Arabidopsis thaliana: one gene and its partner. The gene in region 1 interacts genetically with each later gene. Each region holds a gene or a part of one and is shown in the gene's direction. Other genes may lie near its edges. The genes, in order: MYBL2 and BRI1.

Region 1 (9,773 bases):
GAATGTTGATTTTTTCGTAAAAGATCCATTTGAGAAGACAGAACTATTAACCTTGTTATTCACAAAAAGAATTATGAAGTATGAACCCTGTTTAATTTTCAGTTAATTTTTGATAGATATAAACCATATAATTAATGGATATATTATATACGTATATATATATATTCATTTTTTAAGAAAAATCAATACTCTTGTCATGTACATATAATATTCAAATTCTAGTTTTATAATGTAGAAGCTTACTAATTAAAAAAAAAACCATTCCTTTTTGGAAGATAAATTCTAGGAAAGTAGCGACTCAATAGTCAAGAGAATGAAAGCAAAGAACAACAAAGTTATTTGACACCACACACTCGTATGCATAAATACGCAAAACCCCAAAGAACTTCTTCAACTTCTCTCCTCAACTTTTAAGTATTCCACACATACAAACACACACACACACTTGACTTTTCTCATATAATTTCGACAGCTCGTGAAGGACAAAGACATGGAGCCTTCTCGGAGGAGAATGACCAGAGACATGTTGCTTCTAATCGTAACGATGGCATGGCTCGTAACCGGAGACGAAGGAGGCATAAAGCAAGAGGAGCGACTGTTTAATCTTGGGAAGCTTGAGATGTTCGTTGACAAGCTTCCTCATATACCAACACTTCATGGCTACCACTTCGTCAATGGCTTCCTCAAACCCAAATCTCTTCACATAGGCATGTTCTTCAAGAAATGGGTATTTAATTCTTTCCTTCTTCTCATTTTCCTTATATTCTAATTTTTGTTTCCTTGTTTTCTAATTTCTTTCCTCTATTATATATTTTCCTCTTGTTTTCTCTGTTTTCTTGAAGTTATATTTGGTATGTTATTAAATTAAATTTCCAGTCTATAGTCGTTCGTGAAAACAGATCATCTTCCATTTCTGTCATGAGGTTATAAATGGCCAAAATATTTAGATAGAAAATTCAAATAACCATCATTTAGTGATTTACACCTGTATTACATGCAAAAAAATAGACTCATTAACTTTCTTGACCAACTTAAGCCGACTAACTAATGTTGAACATTATCTCCTTAATGAAAAACATTAACATTAAATTCGATATCGTATAAGATTAGTGAAGTTAATTTGCTTTTTACTTGGCTACGGCTCTTCTTAGGTTGTAAAGTGATTAGAATAGATTCGTGTTGTGTTCACACTATTGTCCCCTCACTTGTTTGTCGTCTTTGAGAAAAAGTATTAATAATTGTATACTTTTTATCACTCGTCATGTTGAATATTATTTGCCCTTCACCGAATGAATACTCAAATTCCTCTTTGTTCATAAACTAATCTAAACTCATTAATGACAAAAATTAACATTAAATATTCGAAATCGTATAGATCAGTGAAAACTTAAGTGCTTTTTAGTTGGCTACGGCTCTTTTTTGGTAAAGTGATTTGGAATTGATTCATCTTGTGTACTCCACTCTTATCCTCTCACTTATTTGTCCTCTTGAGAAAAATATCTATTGGTTTATAGTACTGACGAATCAGTGCTCTTTTATAACTAGTCAAATTTAATATTATTTTGCTCTCCTACCGAATGAATACACATTTTTTTTATAGTTTCTATAAGCTCTTTAAGTTTTGTTCTGATAAATTATACTAAGAACATCATCAAATCTAATGATTAATTGATAGAAAGTTATTACCCACTAACTATATAATTATGATTGCTTTTCTACCACTTTGGCCTAGCTAATTGTGCTCTGTTCCTTTAAACTATTTTATTACTCTGCTAATGATTCGAATGATTTAAGTTTTTGAATTTCTCTAACTCTGTCACACACTGATATGAGTTAAATCATTGTGAAGTACAGAAATTCCACAGAGACTTGCCTGCCACGCCAGTGTTCGCATATGGTACATCAAAGCGTTCAGCAACAGTTCCTGGACCAACAATAGAAGCTGTTTATGGCGTCGACACCTACGTGACGTGGCGAAATCACCTCCCTTTACATCATATCCTCCCTTGGGACCCAACAATCTCTCCGGCAATCCCTAAACACGGCGGCATTCCCACGGTGGTTCACTTGCACGGAGGTATCCACGAACCAACTAGCGATGGAAATGCAGATTCATGGTTCACCGCTGGTTTCAAAGAAACTGGTTCCAAATGGACCAAAAAGACTACACATTACGTCAACAAGCAACAACCTGGAAACATGTGGTACCATGACCACGCGGCAGGGTTGACCAGAGTCAACCTTCTTGCCGGTTTGTTAGGCTCTTACATTCTCCGTCATAGCTCAGTCGAATCGCCTCTTCGGTTACCTACCGGACGCGAATTCGATCGTCCTTTGGTCATCTTTGACCGATCTTTTCGTAAAGATGGTTCCATTTACATGAACGCTACAGGGAACAATCCAACGATTCATCCACAATGGCAGCCAGAGTATTTCGGCGACGCCATCATTGTGAACGGTAAAGCATGGCCGAGATTAACCGTCCGCCGCCGGAAATATAGATTTCGAATCACAAACGCTAGTAACGCAAGGTTCTTCCGGTTCTTCTTCTCCAACGGTCTCGACTTCATTGTCGTTGGTTCCGATTCCGCTTATCTAGCGAAACCAGTATCGACCAAATCTGTTCTCCTAGCTCCGTCGGAGATTGTCGACGTACTCGTTGACTTTTCAAAGTCAACATCGAAAACGGCAATTCTTGCCAACAATGCACCTTATCCTTACCCGTCGGGAGATCCCGTCACGGAAGAGAACAGCAAAGTCATGAAGTTTATAATCAACTACAAATCAGAAGTTGACACGTCGATTATTCCGAAGAAGCTAATTGAATACCCTCCTGCTCATGTATCAACCTCCACACGTACACGTTACATTGCTATGTTCGAGTATGTGTCAAGCATTGACGAGCCAACACATCTATACATCAACGGTCTGCCTTACAACGCTCCCGTAACCGAAACTCCAAAAATCGGCACAAGCGAGGTATTTATAACCAAAATTTCACTATTCACTAACCGTATAGTTCAAATCTTTAATGCTTACAATAATGAAGGTGTGGGAAGTGATAAACTTAACCGAGGATAACCATCCGTTGCACATTCACTTGGGATTGTTTAAAGTATTGGAGCAAACGGCATTGGTGAAGAGTGAGGAGTTCATAGAGTGCATGACTAAAAGAAACGATGCCGTCAAGTGTGAGATTAGCAAATACGCACGAGGGAACAAGACCGCGGTTACGGTACACGAGCGGGGATGGAAAAACGTATTCAAGATGATGCCGGGACATGTAACGAAGATACTCGTTAGATTTTCTTACATTCACTCAAACGAATCTTACTCCTTTGACGCAACTCAAGAGCCAGGCTATGTTTACCACTGTCACGTAAGTTGGTAAAATACTAAAAAGTTGATGACGAATTTAGCTTTTTCTTTTAGAACTAACTGTATGATATTGGCATTGCAGATATTGGACCATGAAGACAATATGATGATGAGGCCCTTTGCAATGGTGCTATAATTCTAAAACGAAAACAATTTACAATTACGAGTGCAGAATACAAACGAGTTGATATAGATTGAGATTTCAGATTACATAAATATCTTATACAGAAAGTGTTAAAAGATAATTCGATTGGATTGATGTTATATCTCTATCATTGTTTTTCACTTGGCCTCGGAGATTAGAAGCAGCTTGTTAATGGGCTTTTAACAGTTACGGGCTTTAACGGGCCCAATAACAAAACTCTTTTGCTTCTTATATGATTTTGGAGTAGATGGTAAGTGAGATAGGGAAGTGGTGAGTGAAATTAGAAAATTCCTCGTATACAAAGTCCTAACCACCAGTCAAATTCAATTGAATGCTCCCATGTTTCTCCCTTATCTGTTCCTGAACCTACACTCTTTAATTTCATGGTTTCCTATTTTCTCTTAATTTGTTTATTTTCATGTCATATTCGGAAGCTTCAGATATTTTATCAAATAATGCATCCAAATAATTTTGAGCCACTAGTCAAATATCTTCTTCGTCTTCTTCTTGCTTAATATATATTTTAGTGAATCTATTATTGATACCACACACACATCTTTGATATTTCACAAAAGGTATCTATCGGAGCCGTACATATATTTTACGAAAATGTGGATAAGAGCGAGATTTGGATTGGTATTGGTAAGGCAAATTAAATGCGACACACTTCCACATTCATGATTCCACAAATTCTAATGGATTTGAACAAATATGGGACCAATTTTTATTTGTTTCAACTCCTAAATGTGGGACCAATTAACAAGGTTGATGTATTCTTCTTGTTCTTCCTCGTTCATTAATAGTTTGATTGAGCATGCACGCTTCTCTCAACCCACCAGTCCAAGTCAAACCTCCTCAAGCCATCCCCTAATCCTATATATCAGTTTCTTCTCGCAAACCACCTCACAATCTATCAACAGTTTTAAAAAAAGACATAACTCAACCAATCTCACTTTGAAAAAGACATGAACAAAACCCGCCTTCGTGCTCTCTCCCCACCTTCCGGTAACTATTTTCTCTTTAAACAGTATTAATCATGTGTTTTGCTATTCACATCACCAAATTATTCATAGTTTAAAGAGGTCGATGTAGAATTCATAGATATACATGTGTACATACGTGACTTTGTGACGATATATCGTTTTAATTTGTTAAATTTTGATCCCTTCTCTTAGGTATGCAACACCGTAAGAGATGTCGATTGAGAGGTCGAAACTACGTAAGGCCAGAAGTTAAACAACGCAACTTCTCAAAAGATGAAGACGATCTCATCCTCAAGCTTCATGCACTTCTTGGCAATAGGTTCGTATTCATTCTTCTTATTCTTTAATTCAATAGTAATGTGAACGGTACGTGCTAATAATCATTTTGATGTTATGTTTTTTCAGATGGTCATTGATAGCGGGAAGATTGCCAGGACGAACCGACAACGAAGTTAGGATCCATTGGGAAACTTACCTAAAAAGGAAGCTCGTAAAAATGGGAATCGACCCAACCAATCATCGTCTCCACCATCACACCAACTACATTTCTAGACGTCACCTCCATTCTTCACATAAGGAACATGAAACCAAGATTATTAGTGATCAATCTTCTTCGGTATCCGAATCATGTGGTGTAACAATTTTGCCCATTCCAAGTACCAATTGCTCGGAGGATAGTACTAGTACCGGACGAAGTCATTTGCCTGACCTAAACATTGGTCTCATCCCGGCCGTGACTTCTTTGCCAGCTCTTTGCCTTCAGGACTCTAGCGAATCCTCTACCAATGGTTCAACAGGTCAAGAAACGCTTCTTCTATTCCGATGAGAAATGGTGTATTTGTTTGTACACATTTGTTATATTACAAATGCACATATTATAATATTCACTAGAGAGATGGTATAACGATGTTTGAAATATGTTAATCCTGAATTGGACCGGCTGGTCATTGAACAACTATTCTCTTAAATGTCCGGTTCTGTTTTCAGTGATTAGTATTATAGTAGATCGTTAATAACTAACCGACGATAACCGCTGCTTATTTGATCAATCAAGCTGTAAGAAATTATAGCTAATACAGCAATGTTAACGGTGCACATTGACGGGAAGTATTAATTAACTCTCTTAAAATGGACAAGTATGTTCATTTTCCTCCAAACTACACTTTACTCTTTATTCAAAAGCAATTTCAAACTCTCGTTTCGCACAAAGGAATCTATAAATACGAAAATTACTTACTAAAGATATAAAGGAAGCAAATTAGTTAACTTATAAAATAATGAAATGTATCGATTTAAGGATGTCTTAAGCATGGAGACTATACGGTCAAATATGCACCAACTAGTACAAACACGTTCACATATATTTTGAACAAAACTCACAATGAATTTGTTTAAAGTATCTTCATACATGCTTAAAATAAAAATTAGAAAGTAAATACATTTGTACAACCGCTATTCAAACATCATCAAATATTAAACAAAATTGCATGACCAAAGAATATGAATGTTTGACAAGTATAGAAGAGGAGATTGTTTGCTAAGAAAATGGACCAATATTTATCATCGAAACTACAATCATCATTAAGGTTGTTTCTACGATTGCGGGATCTACAACCATCAAAGAAGTTGTTTCCACAACTGTATAAACTCTGATCTCACCTTCACTTTCATATTGTTCCGCAAGTACAACTACACCATAAATTTCAGAAATAACGGTGAGTATTGTGGTTAATGGAGAGTTGTGTGTGGATGTGCAAGCAAAAATCACATGCCTCATCAAACACTTCAAGGTTATTAATCTTCATCTGATTCAGACGAATACCCTCTTCTTTATGTAGATCTTTTTATTTTTGCATATGTCCAAAAATAATTATGAAACCAGCCAGTCAAACTTGCCAAAAATGTCTAAAAGATAATGTTGTCTATTTTTCAAGTTGCTATCGGTTGTTATGTAGGACGCAGAAGTCACGGGCATGGACGTCGGCCGATATGATGTGGATGTCGTGGTTGAACCTTTCTTTTGTTAAACCGAGATAACTTTTCAATACAAGACTGTCACAAACTATATGTAAGTCATGTTTATAAATTTTAATCAAAAGTATACTAAACTGTGGTAAAACAGTTTTAAGAAAATTATAGGTCCCAATTTGTATACATGCTTCAAATTATCTAAAATGTTGTTAAAATTCGATCTACCGGGTCATGTTCGACCGTTCCATTTGCAGGCTATATAATACTCACCAAAATTATGTTAATTGACATAATTTTTCTAGAACATTTTTGCTGTAAGAGATATTAAATTTTCTTACACATACAAAGTTATTTTTAAGGGAAAATAAAACATGTAAAGCTATATTTAGTTAATTACAAAGAAGATTTTTTCCATCTTTTAATAAACACTAGGGTAAGACAGATCATATACTAGAAACACATGTCAATACAATGCATCTAAAGGCCTGGAAATTTTATCTTAGTTTCTTTTCAAATAGAAAAAATAACTAATTTGACTATTTATTACCATTTAAGATTACATAAATAATACATACAGATAAATTTCATAACTCCAACATAAATTTCAACACAACTATAAAATACAATCATATAAGATCTACTTTACAACTAAGCACACAACAAACCATTTTCTTCAATAAATAGAAAAGTGGATTTTTTTATTGAATTTAAAAGTATAGTTCATTTCTATTATACAGTTTTGATCTAATATAAATGATAATAATTGATTATTTTTTTGACAACTGTATCATTTTCTCTTCAACCTCTACTTGCACCGTGAATCTCGCTCTCAATTATCTAGTTTGTTCTATTGTATTATTTAAATGTATCACATAAACTTTTATCTAAAAATATAAAGCCAGTAAACTAAAAAGAAAAGAAAAAACCATTTTTAGAGTTAGATAAAAAGTTTAAAACAAAAAACACTAAAACCAAAACGGTGTCGTAACAGCGACTTATCCTTTTTCGCCACATGGCTTCGTTGGATACATAAAAGCGATAGAGACGCATCTCTGAGTCAGAAGCGAGCCAGCGAGAGAGAGAGAGCGAGTCACAAAAATTCGAATTTTAAGCCGCCGTGTGAGACGGCGTAATGGCTGGTGGAGCTATCACTCCCGATTCTCTCATCGGTCTTATTGCTGAAATCAATGAGATTCCGGGGAATTTTGGTTTGTTTAAGAAGGATTGTTCCGATCTCGCGCGACGAGTCGGTCTCCTGACGCATTTGATTGAGGAAATCAGGGATTCTTCTCCGCCGTCGGAATCTGATGCTTCTTCTTCGTTGAATTCTCATGAATGTGATTGGTGGTCTGATCTTGTGGTGGGACTTCAAGCCGCGAAGCGTCTTTTGTCTTCAGCTACTAGTTTCCAAGCTCGCGAGTCCTCTGTAAGCATTCTAAACCATTCTCAACGATTGAAAATGGATTTGTGATTTCACGAAGATTTGGTCTCGCCATGGCAGGAACGTAATTTATAGGAAGAATTTGTTTTTAGTTTTTTTAGATTGGAAGATACTATTGTTGACATTTGTGTAGTGAAGAGCATTATTAATATATACATGAGGAGCTCTCTAAACTTTGATGTGTGATTTTGATTGAAGGATGGGGCAGCCAAGAGGATCTCATTCCAGTTCCAATGTGTTACATGGAAGCTGGAGAAAGCATTAGGTGATTTGACATATGATAGATATGATATCTCTGACGAAGTCCGTGAACAGGTAAAAGTTTGTTCATTATGTAGAATGTATGAAGATTTGGTTTTCCTATCCATGGAGGTGTTTCTAAGGGTTTTTTTTTGCTTGTGATTAGGTGGAACTAGCAAGATTACAGTTAAGAAGAGCAATGCAGAGATATGGATCGTTAAATTCGAAGAAGTTCTCGAGTGGTTTATCTGAGCCAATGGAGAAAGATGCCTCAAGTAATAGAAAAGTTATTGAAAAGTTGGAGAGTATTCCAGAGACAGTGCATTCTTTATCAGATGAGAAGAAATTTGAATCACCCCCTCCTTGGAAGAGCTCTTCAGTATCATTGGCCTTCTTTTTATCAAAGGATGGTGATGATGAGAGATTAGAGAAAGCAGTTACCGAGAACAGCGATGACTCACAGAAATCGGATAATCTCACGATTCCAGAGGACTTTCTTTGTCCAATCTCTCTGGAACTGATGAAGGATCCTGCTATTGTTTCCACAGGACAGGTCTGGTTTAAAAAATCAAATCTTTATATAGTGCTAACGTATGGTTGTTGATTTGAAACCTTAACAATGATCTTCTCTCTTCGTTGGCAGACATACGAGAGGTCGTTCATTCAGAGATGGATAGACTGTGGAAATCTGAGCTGCCCAAAGACACAGCAGAAACTTGAAAACTTTACTCTTACTCCAAACTATGTCCTCAGAAGCCTGATATCTCAGTGGTGCACTAAGCACAACATTGAGCAACCAGGTGGTTACATGAACGGTAGGACCAAAAACAGTGATGGGTCTTTCCGTGATCTAAGTGGAGATATGTCAGCGATCCGAGCATTGGTTTGTAAACTCTCTAGCCAATCAATCGAAGACCGCAGGACTGCGGTTTCTGAAATCCGCTCTCTGTCAAAAAGAAGCACAGACAACCGAATTCTGATTGCAGAGGCAGGAGCCATCCCTGTTTTGGTCAAGCTTTTGACCTCAGATGGTGACACTGAAACGCAGGAAAATGCTGTCACTTGCATTCTTAACCTCTCCATATACGAACACAACAAAGAACTGATCATGCTTGCAGGAGCAGTCACATCTATAGTGCTAGTCCTCCGAGCTGGAAGCATGGAAGCTAGAGAAAACGCTGCAGCTACTCTCTTTAGTCTTTCGTTAGCTGATGAGAACAAGATCATTATAGGCGCATCAGGTGCGATAATGGCCTTAGTGGATCTGCTTCAATATGGAAGCGTCAGAGGGAAGAAAGACGCAGCTACGGCTCTGTTCAACTTGTGTATTTACCAGGGAAACAAAGGCAGAGCAGTTAGAGCCGGTATAGTAAAGCCATTGGTGAAAATGCTGACAGACTCCTCGAGCGAGAGGATGGCTGATGAAGCCTTGACCATACTCTCGGTTCTAGCTAGTAACCAAGTCGCGAAAACTGCGATTTTGAGAGCCAACGCAATACCACCTTTGATAGATTGTCTCCAGAAGGATCAACCGCGAAACCGAGAGAACGCAGCTGCGATACTACTGTGTCTTTGCAAGAGAGATACTGAAAAACTGATCTCCATTGGTAGACTT
Region 2 (12,787 bases), on another chromosome or scaffold:
ATGGTGGCTCGATGTAGAAACAACGCCGTTTTGTGTTCACGTATGTCTGACGCGCGAGCAGAGAGCGTGGGTGATTTGTCACACGAGCGCTTATAAATGAGAGTGTGGGGAGGACAGTTTCGTCCCTTTTTTGGAAGTTAGAATCATTACACTATTTTGGCGTTTTGCTTGATTATGATGACATTATAGAATAAAATGTTCTATTATACGAAATTAATACATCACTAAACATACTTTTCATTCAGTTTGTATTTAAAAAGTTACTTGTACCAATATAGTATTCTATCAGGTTGTTTGTTTTTCTGTTCAATTGTACTTATACAAACCTTCCAAAAAAAGTGTTACACTTGCGATAGATAGTTACACAAATGTCATTCTCTATGATCTTCCTTCTTTATTTGAAAATGGTATCGCAGTATTATTCGCTGAAAGTTGAACCTTCAAACCAGTTACCATTGCAGACGACATTTTCTCTACAAAAGTTAAAGTGATAGTAACATATCTCGAATTTAATTGAAAAGTTTACTACTCAAGTAGTCAAGTTCCTGTTACCCAAAACTATGTGTATAAAGTGAATTTTTTGTTAATTATGTAACTATGTATACACCGGGTACAGCTGCACGTAGGGTTTGTACATAATTACGAAATATCTCTATAAAACTGCGACAGAAGGAAAAAATAATAGAATAAGGCTTTAAGAGAAGTTTGGTCTATCCGTCTATGTAAGTGCCAGAGAAAAAGAAAGCAGTTTAAAAGTGAAAGGAGGGATTAATTAGTGGGAAAAGGTTTATCGAAAACTAATAATAATACTTCTCTGATTATTAAAAAGAGATGGAATCTGCCATTAATTGACACTCATGTCCCAATCGTCTCTCACACGTACGTTCGTTTTTTTTTTTGTTTCTCTTTTGCAAAAAGCTATAGAGACAATCTCTCCTCCACTTTATTTTTAGTTTTTCTTTCAGATACAAGTGAGAGTGAACAAGAGAAGAGTGTTAATGTGAAATGTTTGTGGTTGGTGTGAAATTCATGTAAAAATATGTATGTATTACCTTAACATTAAAGTAAATTTGAACTCTTTCAAACTATCACATTGAATGCTCCAAATCTTGTTGTATATGAGTATCAATATAAAAGAAATTTAGATGCTTATACTATGTTCCATTTTTACTGAACACTACTTAACCATTAGTCCATAAATGTGGAATTAGTTAGTTGCTGGCATCTTTATATCAGAATCAAAAGTTTTGCATATTGGGTGACAGTGAGTGCATACACCAATAATTCACCGATCAAGATCCAACCAAGTAAGAAGAAAAATATAACATGAATTATCTTGATTTTTTTTTTAATAAAAATAAAAATCAATGAATATATATGCTTATTATAAAAAAAAACCCAGCACTAAACAGAAGATCAGATTAGACTTGTGTTTTAAAAATATTGAGAAGAGAATCAAGAGATAGGTGGTTGGGGGTAAAATGTATACAAATGTTACAATAAAGTCTTAAGAAGAGTTTAAAAAGGGTAAGTAGGATATGTAGCTTGCAGAAGACTTGATCCCATCCCCTAATCTCACGTTAATTAAACACCTCTCTCATGTACAGACAAAATACCTCATTTCTTTAACTTAAACTTAACAAAAGCTACTATGAGATTAAGGATTTTGTGATGCCATTATTTTATTTATTTTTAGTATCCTCTTGCATTAATTAACTTTTTTTTTATAACCACATACAATAATTAAAAGTAGTATTATTTGTTTGTATCTGTTATCGAAATTGAAATTAATATATATAATTTTTATAATAATCAGAAGAAGAGGTAACATGGCATGTGAGTGCACAGCTGTGACCACTCTTCCCTTCACCATTTGATAAATACCTTCTTCCATCTTCCTTCTTCTGTCTTTTGACTCTCTTCTCTCTCTCCTCTCTTTCTGCTTTCCTCAATCTCTCTCTTTCTATCTCTAGAGCTTCCACTTCCTCTCTAATGGTGGAACCAAAACCCTAGATTCCCCCTTTCATCTTCTCTACTTCCCACACTTTTCTCTCTCACAAACTCTTGAGAAATGAAGACTTTTTCAAGCTTCTTTCTCTCTGTAACAACTCTCTTCTTCTTCTCCTTCTTTTCTCTTTCATTTCAAGCTTCACCATCTCAGTCTTTATACAGAGAAATCCATCAGCTTATAAGCTTCAAAGACGTTCTTCCTGACAAGAATCTTCTCCCAGACTGGTCTTCCAACAAAAACCCGTGTACTTTCGATGGCGTTACTTGCAGAGACGACAAAGTTACTTCGATTGATCTCAGCTCCAAGCCTCTCAACGTCGGATTCAGTGCCGTGTCCTCGTCTCTCCTGTCTCTCACCGGATTAGAGTCTCTGTTTCTCTCAAACTCACACATCAATGGCTCCGTTTCTGGCTTCAAGTGCTCTGCTTCTTTAACCAGCTTGGATCTATCTAGAAACTCTCTTTCGGGTCCTGTAACGACTCTAACAAGCCTTGGTTCTTGCTCCGGTCTGAAGTTTCTTAACGTCTCTTCCAATACACTTGATTTTCCCGGGAAAGTTTCAGGTGGGTTGAAGCTAAACAGCTTGGAAGTTCTGGATCTTTCTGCGAATTCAATCTCCGGTGCTAACGTCGTTGGTTGGGTTCTCTCCGATGGGTGTGGAGAGTTGAAACATTTAGCGATTAGCGGAAACAAAATCAGTGGAGACGTCGATGTTTCTCGCTGCGTGAATCTCGAGTTTCTCGATGTTTCCTCCAACAATTTCTCCACTGGGATTCCTTTCCTCGGAGATTGCTCTGCTCTGCAACATCTTGACATCTCCGGGAACAAATTATCCGGCGATTTCTCCCGTGCTATCTCTACTTGCACAGAGCTCAAGTTGTTGAACATCTCTAGTAACCAATTCGTCGGACCAATCCCTCCGCTACCGCTTAAAAGTCTCCAATACCTCTCTCTGGCCGAGAACAAATTCACCGGCGAGATCCCTGACTTTCTCTCCGGCGCGTGTGATACACTCACTGGTCTCGATCTCTCTGGAAATCATTTCTACGGTGCGGTTCCTCCATTCTTCGGTTCATGTTCTCTTCTCGAATCACTCGCGTTGTCGAGTAACAACTTCTCTGGCGAGTTACCGATGGATACGTTGTTGAAGATGAGAGGACTCAAAGTACTTGATCTGTCTTTCAACGAGTTTTCCGGCGAATTACCGGAATCTCTGACGAATCTATCCGCTTCGTTGCTAACGTTAGATCTCAGCTCCAACAATTTCTCCGGTCCGATTCTCCCAAATCTCTGCCAGAACCCTAAAAACACTCTGCAGGAGCTTTACCTTCAGAACAATGGCTTCACCGGGAAGATTCCACCGACTTTAAGCAACTGTTCTGAGCTGGTTTCGCTTCACTTGAGCTTCAATTACCTCTCCGGGACAATCCCTTCGAGCTTAGGCTCTCTATCGAAGCTTCGAGATCTGAAACTATGGCTGAATATGTTAGAAGGAGAGATCCCTCAGGAGCTCATGTATGTCAAGACCTTAGAGACTCTGATCCTCGACTTCAACGATTTAACCGGTGAAATCCCTTCCGGTTTAAGTAACTGTACCAATCTTAACTGGATTTCTCTGTCGAATAACCGGTTAACCGGTGAGATTCCGAAATGGATTGGCCGGTTAGAGAATCTCGCTATCCTCAAGCTAAGCAACAATTCATTCTCCGGGAACATTCCGGCTGAGCTCGGCGACTGCAGAAGCTTAATCTGGCTTGATCTCAACACCAATCTCTTCAATGGAACGATTCCGGCGGCGATGTTTAAACAATCCGGGAAAATCGCTGCCAATTTCATCGCCGGTAAGAGGTACGTTTATATCAAAAACGATGGGATGAAGAAAGAGTGTCATGGAGCTGGTAATTTACTTGAGTTTCAAGGAATCAGATCCGAACAATTAAACCGGCTTTCAACGAGGAACCCTTGTAATATCACTAGCAGAGTCTATGGAGGTCACACTTCGCCGACGTTTGATAACAATGGTTCGATGATGTTTCTGGACATGTCTTACAACATGTTGTCTGGATACATACCGAAGGAGATTGGTTCGATGCCTTATCTGTTTATTCTCAATTTGGGTCATAACGATATCTCTGGTTCGATTCCTGATGAGGTAGGTGATCTAAGAGGTTTAAACATTCTTGATCTTTCAAGCAATAAGCTCGATGGGAGGATTCCTCAGGCTATGTCAGCTCTTACTATGCTTACGGAAATCGATTTGTCGAATAATAATTTGTCTGGTCCGATTCCTGAGATGGGTCAGTTTGAGACTTTTCCACCGGCTAAGTTCTTGAACAATCCTGGTCTCTGTGGTTATCCTCTTCCGCGGTGTGATCCTTCAAATGCAGACGGTTATGCTCATCATCAGAGATCTCATGGAAGGAGACCAGCGTCCCTTGCTGGTAGTGTGGCGATGGGATTGTTGTTCTCTTTTGTGTGTATATTTGGGCTGATCCTTGTTGGTAGAGAGATGAGGAAGAGACGGAGAAAGAAAGAGGCGGAGTTGGAGATGTATGCGGAAGGACATGGAAACTCTGGCGATAGAACTGCTAACAACACCAATTGGAAGCTGACTGGTGTGAAAGAAGCCTTGAGTATCAATCTTGCTGCTTTCGAGAAGCCATTGCGGAAGCTCACGTTTGCGGATCTTCTTCAGGCTACCAATGGTTTCCATAATGATAGTCTGATTGGTTCTGGTGGGTTTGGAGATGTTTACAAAGCGATTTTGAAAGATGGAAGCGCGGTGGCTATCAAGAAACTGATTCATGTTAGCGGTCAAGGTGATAGAGAGTTCATGGCGGAGATGGAAACCATTGGGAAGATCAAACATCGAAATCTTGTGCCTCTTCTTGGTTATTGCAAAGTTGGAGACGAGCGGCTTCTTGTGTATGAGTTTATGAAGTATGGAAGTTTAGAAGATGTTTTGCACGACCCCAAGAAAGCTGGGGTGAAACTAAACTGGTCCACACGGCGGAAGATTGCGATAGGATCAGCTAGAGGGCTTGCTTTCCTTCACCACAACTGCAGTCCGCATATCATCCACAGAGACATGAAATCCAGTAATGTGTTGCTTGATGAGAATTTGGAAGCTCGGGTTTCAGATTTTGGCATGGCGAGGCTGATGAGTGCGATGGATACGCATTTAAGCGTCAGTACATTAGCTGGTACACCGGGTTACGTTCCTCCAGAGTATTACCAAAGTTTCAGGTGTTCAACAAAAGGAGACGTTTATAGTTACGGTGTGGTCTTACTCGAGCTACTCACGGGTAAACGGCCAACGGATTCACCGGATTTTGGAGATAACAACCTTGTTGGATGGGTGAAACAGCACGCAAAACTGCGGATTAGCGATGTGTTTGACCCCGAGCTTATGAAGGAAGATCCAGCATTAGAGATCGAACTTTTACAACATTTAAAAGTTGCGGTTGCGTGTTTGGATGATCGGGCTTGGAGACGACCGACAATGGTACAAGTCATGGCCATGTTTAAGGAGATACAAGCCGGGTCAGGGATAGATTCACAGTCAACGATCAGATCAATAGAGGATGGAGGGTTCAGTACAATAGAGATGGTTGATATGAGTATAAAAGAAGTTCCTGAAGGAAAATTATGAGAGTTAGAAACAGAGCCAAAGCAGATTCTTTGAACATCAAAATCATCTAAGGGTCAGTCCGATTTTCCTTGGGTCTATTTTTTTTGTATTTTCTACTATATGCTAAGTGTATGTATCTATGTTATTTATACATAAGACGGATGTTTTTTTTTTCGGGCTCGGTCGAATTGGGGGTGGTGGAGAATAGAACTAAGTAATAACTTTGTTAAGAATATGTAAATATACAGTTTTTTGGGGAGGGATTTGTAATGTTTTCGTTTTTAGTTCTATGGAAATTTCTACGTTGCTAACAAATTAAATTTATAATGAATCATGAAGAAACAAAGAGCCAATGTGTATTAAATTTCGACTGATCATGTTCATGTAAATGCACGTGACCTATTAATTCATTATTGTCGGAATTAATTTGGGGAATTCACACTGCACGGGAATGGGAAAGTGAGAATAGATGAGACTTAAATTTGTTTTTATGGATGTTATATTTACATGACCAATGTGGTCCCTTTTGAACTATGCTGAGTTAAACGTTTTTTTTTTTGCTATATACTTATTACTGATGAAATTGAACCGTTGGACTATATTTATATCCATCTACGTTATTTTTTCCATTACTATTGATTTTGTTATTGGCCCAAGTAGAATCAAAAGAATGGTTTTTTGATGTCATAATTTGCAATATAGAAATGGGAGGGATATGTATTGCATAATAAGATAAAGATAAACCTTTATCGAGACATAAGATTGTATGTAGATATTGAAAATGATAGGGTGATCAATGGATTTTAAAAAGTTTAAACAATTTTGCTACTAATAAATAAGAGATTGATATATAACATGGAGAAATGGACCTTCGCCTGAAATTAAAACAAAGTCTGGGTTTCATTCATGTTTCAGTGAGACACTGCGCCAACATCACCACAACAAGTCTTACACAAGGAACGTGTGCCTCACGTGCTCTTCTCTTTCTCTCTGCAGCTACGTGGACTGTCTTCGCTCCCCTCGCTCTTCGGATTTCGTGTTCCTTGCTTTCAAATTCTTTCTTCTTTAATCTTTTTGATTATTTATTTTTCTTTTCTCACTACTACCCAAACTAAAACACAAATCAAGTGTTTAGACTTTTAATAAAACTTAAAGAAAGGTTTATTTGGGTTTTATATGTTCGCTTTAGTCTCCAATACTAATATATTAAGTGGAACATTATAAATACATGCTTCTTATATACTATATGATCATGGATTTCGAAGAAACATTATAGAAAAAAAAACTTGAAACAAATGCGATACGGATACGTGCACATACATACCAATACACTATTATTCATCCTAGACAAGACACTGACATAGGCGCGTATAAACAAACGCGCTGAAACTGTGGAAGAAGGAAAAGAAGAGATGAGTAGCTATCAAGCGGAACACGCGCGACGGTGGTGGGTACGGAGCACGTGGGCCACCGTGCATGCAAGCTGTTCTTGTCGGAAACTTCCCCTAACAACGTCTCCTTCCGCCGTGGGCCGCCGTCCCTTTCCTGTCTCCGCCGAATTGACCTCTTCCTCTCTTTCCCTCTCTCATCTCTCTCCCACGTGTGTTTCCTTCTCATCCATACACTTCTCTTAATTAATTTATTATCTTCCTAATAAATATTCTTAATACATTTTGTTTTTTTCATATGCCTTAAGAAATTTTATATATTATTTTGACAACTTGTCAATAATACTATTCGTTACGCGGAATTATTGGGTACGTACGTGGGTTTCATTGCTCTTTGTCTGATATCAAGAAATCAAGTCACATAAAATTAAATACAGGAATACGCACAATGCAAAAAAAGCCACTATCCATAAAAATTATACTTATACTATAATACAAAAATTCTGAGTTGCAAATGACAAAATTAATAGGAACTACAAAAAAAAATTAGTAAAAACATAACACGGTGGTAGAATTTTGTTTCCTATCATAAATTTTGATAAAATTAGGGCGTACTTGAACACATAAAGGGTTACGATTCAAAGGAATTAAGCAATTTGTACTAAAAATACATAATTACAAAACCATTCTATCATTTTAGGATCTTTTTCTTTCAATCAAACCAATAATTCACGTTTAAACGTCGTCATGTATCTGATTATGTACATATAAAATTGCTCTAAATATGTAAATATGGGTCAAGTGCAAGACGGTCCATGCATTTAGATATTTTTCTGTAAGGCATATAAGTGGAGGATTGCGATGTGTACGTAAATACATAATCATTAATCAATTTATATATGTATATATACCTAGTTATGGGGTTGGAAATCTGAAGTTGAATCAATCTTATCGTAGTTTTATTCATTCTCGAGGCTTCTTTCTCACGTACAAAACTTCCCGCACGGGCTAAAGCTTGTTTGTCAAATAAATTGTTTAGAAACTGAGGTTTCGACGATGTACGAACTACACAAAGCTACAAACAAAGAAAATAATTAAGAATTTGTTTTGTACGTAAACATGTAGACAAACCCATTTCCACGCGTGTGAGCTCTCTGCCATTCATATACAGCTAAGACTTCTGAAAACGACGTTGATTAGTTAAATGTGTCGTCGTGGAAAAAACTATGTAAATACGTTCTCTATTGACTCAAAGGATAACAATATTTCTGCATATTTTTTGTTTACCTGTGATTTATAATGTTTTGTAAAAATGTACGTAACGACTATCAACAAGATATTATTATTTCACATGATAACAAGCGGTCAAAGTTGTTCTTACCGAGTTACTGTCAAATTGCATGCTAGAGCTTATTCTAATATGTATTGTATATATATTATCATAGTCTTAAATCGAATTATGTCTATGAATAATACTTTCTCTGCATATATATTTTTTTTTGTCAATATATGTTATTTAGTCTCCATATGTTTGGCTCTCTTTACAACTTACAAAAAAATACCTTAACTAAAATAAAGATATAGTGTTAAACTAATTTAATCAAAGAAATTGTTGGATTCATCTCACCTAGGAATCTTCCTTCTTTTCACGACGAAGAGACAAAGAAACAAAAAGCGACGGCTCAGATTTTGGTAATGTATAATGAAGTTTCAAATATTATATTCATCTCCTCGCAGCTTCTCCCAGCTTTCTCGTTTTTAATTCCCAGTCTCCTTTCAACAAGTTTTTTTTTCTTTAAAGCCATAATTAATGTTTGGGCGTCAGGATTACGTTATCTTAACTTTTTCCAATGGTTTGAACTGCTTTAACAGAGCCTTGTAAAATAATTGGAAAATTTGCTTTTGATAATAGCTAATTAGCAAATGGAATCAGTTTGTCCATAAATATATATGTAATGTCGTAAATCAGTATATAATAGAAGAAAAAAAATAAGAAATTTGATGATGGCAAATACTTTGAGTAACAACACAATTGGCTATCGTGTCAATTTTTGAGATAAATTAACTAAATTACATTGATACATAGTATACAGTATTATGAAAATGATTATTTAAGACCTTGGATTAAGGTAGCGAACGTGCGGTCCACGAGGGAATCACGTGGGAGTCTCCCTCGGACTCGGCGGAGCAAGCGGGTCACAACTTTTCATGTCCTCGTAACTTATGATTTCTATTTCTTTAATAGTTTTGTTTTCTTTTCGTAATAAGGTTTCGTAATCTAAGTTGATCAACGTATTACACTATTTAAGGTTTTACATTACACTTTTGGGAATCGAGAGAGTCGAGACGCTCACGTGCTTAAACGCGCTTATCCATTTGTCGAATTTCTTGGTTTGTCACGTGATCGCTATATTCGTGGACTTGGGTCTATCATTAAACCCAATAGAATTTTCCTCGTCTATAGGCTCATTATGGTAATCTGTCTTTATTGAACAAGTGTAAAATTTAAAGAAGCCCATTATAAGGCCCATCAATTTGAAACATAGACTCAATAAGCTGTTTTTTGGAACTCATTACAATATAATTTTCTGTTGACTCCGTTTAAAATAAGATACATTTAAAAGCCCACCAATTACAAACTAAGGCCCAATGAAATATATTTCCTTTAGCTGTTGAAGGTATCGTTGAGCGAAATTTTGTATTTGTCTTTGCTGCGTTTTTTTGGAGAGTTTAAATTTCCTTTTGTCAAAAATAGAAAGCATTTTCGGCCAAATTTTTGTTAGTACAATTTTAATGATAAAAACTTTAAATTTTTCGAATGTGGACTACATTTATATACCAAATAATGTCACACAAACCAACCAACAGAGTAACTATAAAATCAATTCAACTATATATTATATAGTCCTCAATTTGGAAATGGTACATTAATCATCTTACAAACACAAACAAACCACGGTGACATCGTCCACATTACAAATATAAAAACATCGATCATACCTGTTTCCTAACGAGAACATGTTATATATGTGTAACTTTTTTTTTATCGAGCTAGGTGTTGATGATTAATATATAATACGATAATTAGTTTGAGGCAAGGCAAGGTTGATTGATTTTTGATATTGGTTGATTCAATGGAAATACAAATTGAAATCACCAGAAGAAGTTGGAGAGAGGAGGGTGCAGGTGAGAGGTGGAGAGAGAGTCGTCGTCGAGATGATTAGAAGGAGAGTGAAGGTGTCTTCCTTCGTAAGTAGTGATTACCATTCTTGGGTCATCTGCTAATCTCTCCACTCTCTTCTTCACTCTACACTTGTCTTGTGTGCATCTGTAATAGCTCCTGCCATTCACATATTATATATATTAGTTAATCTTATATCAAATTTTATGGGAAACAAGTCTTATTTTTGGTTAGACTAGTTATAGTTGAATATAGAGTGATATAATATCAAACAGATATTAAGGCAACTAATGGAACTTTATCACAAAGCTCATGATAAAACTTTACAAAATGAGTATACAAGTTACCTAAACAAATCATTATTATTTGTAAATGTCAAATGTCAACATGTGAGAAAGAATCTTACAGAAACCCAACCCCATTATGTCTCACATTCTCACATAACACTCAAATATTTCTACATGAAATTACTTTTTTCCTTTCTTAACGGTTATATTCTTTTCCTATTTTTCTATAGCTACTAATCCCCAGAGGGACAAAAGTTTTTGTTATAACAGAACTGATACTTAATTACATATATACAGAGAAACGTACCAGAAAGATTCTACTAATAATTTTCATTGCCCTTAGAAAAATCGTAAATGAATGATTAATCATTACATGGCTCATAATTCACTACAAATTTTCATCATATTAGTTTACGTTAAAAACTTGGAAAAAAAAAAACTGATGATTGATCAAGACCGTAAAATTCTTATGAGAAGTCATCATTAACCTTCAAGGAATCATGAGAGGCAAAAAAGTGGAAGAACTGATATGTAGTCATCTTAATTAAAGAACGGCTGAGAATTGAAAGACTCGGAACCAATTTCAAATCATAAAATTAAATTAAATTACCTGGGATGTTGGGTGTTTTTGACAACTTTCTGGCCATACTTTCTCCATCTATATCCATCATCTAAGACATCAACCTCGCTAAGTGTCTTAAAGCAAAACCGAGGTTCCCTCACTTTTCTTCTTGTCTTAAGCTTCTTCATCTTCAGAGAAGAAACTACGCCTAATGACGCTGTGTTATGTTTATCATGACGACTGGGAGTATCATGATGATGATGACGACCATTATCATCATCATTAATGCCACCACCATCGCCAACCTCATCATCATTATCATCAACATCAATCTCGCTTCCATGGTTGTTTTTCTGGCTGCTTCCGTATCCCGCTTGACAACTCCATGCCCTAAACCACATTAACATATAAACATTAGTTACTTATATATAAGTAGCCGAGTCATGTGTGCATCCTCAAACTAATTGAAAATTCTGTACAATAAAGCAAAAGTAACTAGTAGGGAAATATACGAGCTTTTGGTTTATATATTTAAATACTTATTTTGAAAATAATGATTAATTTTAGTATTTTCGTAAGTAACTACTTACCATGGATTTGACAGGGGTCTTTGGGATGAAATACTACCGGTAAGACGATGATGATCGAGATTAAGAAAACCATCATGATCGTCCCTTTGCTTTGATGAGGACAAAGACGAGATTAGGGTTTCGGGGAGATTGGTCATGAGATTGATGGAATCTTGAGGATGACTTATGAATGAAGACGGGTTATTATGAAGGAAGGAGTTTAGGGAGTTATGACCAAGAAATGGAGACACAAGAGAAGAAGGAGAAGACGAAGACGACGAAGATGATGAAGATAAGGTGCTGTGACTAGGGAAAGAGAAGAAGAAACCTAGATGGTTGGTATTAATAGGGTTTATGACGGTTTGTGATTCATCAAACAAGCTTATTCCTTGGTTTATCGCACCCATCTCGCAAAAGCTTGACGAAGGTGAGATTGTGTGTGTGAGACAGTGAGAGAGAAAGTTTTTGTTTTGCTGGATATTTTGTTTGATTTTGGGTTGAGAGTTGAGACAATCCAATCCATCCATGTGAGTGTTTCGATTAATATATAAATGTTGGATAATGAAAAGGTGCAGGTGGGTCCAATTGGATTGGTTTTGTTCGAAGATTTACATGTGATTAAAATGCTCATATTTGTTTTGTACTCGCCTGATTTTGAAATATAATAGTGATGAGGGGTCTTTTTAAAAATGTTTGTTGATATTAATAAAGTCTGTATTTTGGTTAAAATAACTATGAGGTTTTAGATTTTTTTTTTTTTTTTTTTTTCTTTTTTTTTTGGAAATTTAGAACGATTATAGGATCAAGCGAAAAGACTTACAGTTTTGTGTTTTGGTAGCAGTATACAACAATACGTAAAATTTTTAGGTAGTTGAAATGTTATAACAATGACTAATTTGATCTATGCATGAAAATTATTCATTAACTCAAATATTTTTCATTATTATATGTCCTATGCAGCCTTGCAACTTTCACAATATTTGAACCTTAATTTGGTCTTTATCAAAAAAAAAAAAACTAAGTTGGTGGGAAAACTACAGACTTATAAACATTTTTCCACTTATGCTTTTCCAAACTAAGATTATTGGTTCGAATTTGATGTCTAAAAGAAAGAATAACCACATTTGAAATTAAAAACAGTTTTTTTTTTTGCTACTCC

What was found.
Region 2: changes in MYBL2 (region 1) and BRI1 impair growth when combined (synthetic growth defect), as found in Arabidopsis thaliana (one study listed by BioGRID).

What each region holds. Positions count from the first base shown.
Region 1 is NC_003070.9:26,790,942-26,800,714, reverse strand, and holds MYBL2 (MYB-like 2), read left to right. Parts: upstream 1-4,185; 5' UTR 4,186-4,488; coding exon 4,489-4,528; exon of another isoform or gene 4,529-4,698; coding exon 4,699-4,825; intron 4,826-4,911; coding exon 4,912-5,332; 3' UTR 5,333-5,663; downstream 5,664-9,773. Other genes in the region: LPR2 (Cupredoxin superfamily protein), read left to right, coding at 491-727, 1,855-2,979, 3,050-3,379, 3,461-3,514; AT1G71020 (ARM repeat superfamily protein), read left to right, coding at 7,610-7,903, 8,117-8,233, 8,325-8,711, 8,802-9,773.
Region 2 is NC_003075.7:18,322,755-18,335,541, forward strand, and holds BRI1 (Leucine-rich receptor-like protein kinase family protein), read left to right. Parts: upstream 1-1,702; 5' UTR 1,703-2,071; coding exon 2,072-5,662; 3' UTR 5,663-6,077; downstream 6,078-12,787. Other genes in the region: PLS (polari), read right to left, coding at 6,435-6,545; WRKY13 (WRKY DNA-binding protein 13), read right to left, coding at 10,183-10,369, 11,108-11,449, 11,650-12,035. UniProt on the Arabidopsis thaliana protein: Receptor with a dual specificity kinase activity acting on both serine/threonine- and tyrosine-containing substrates.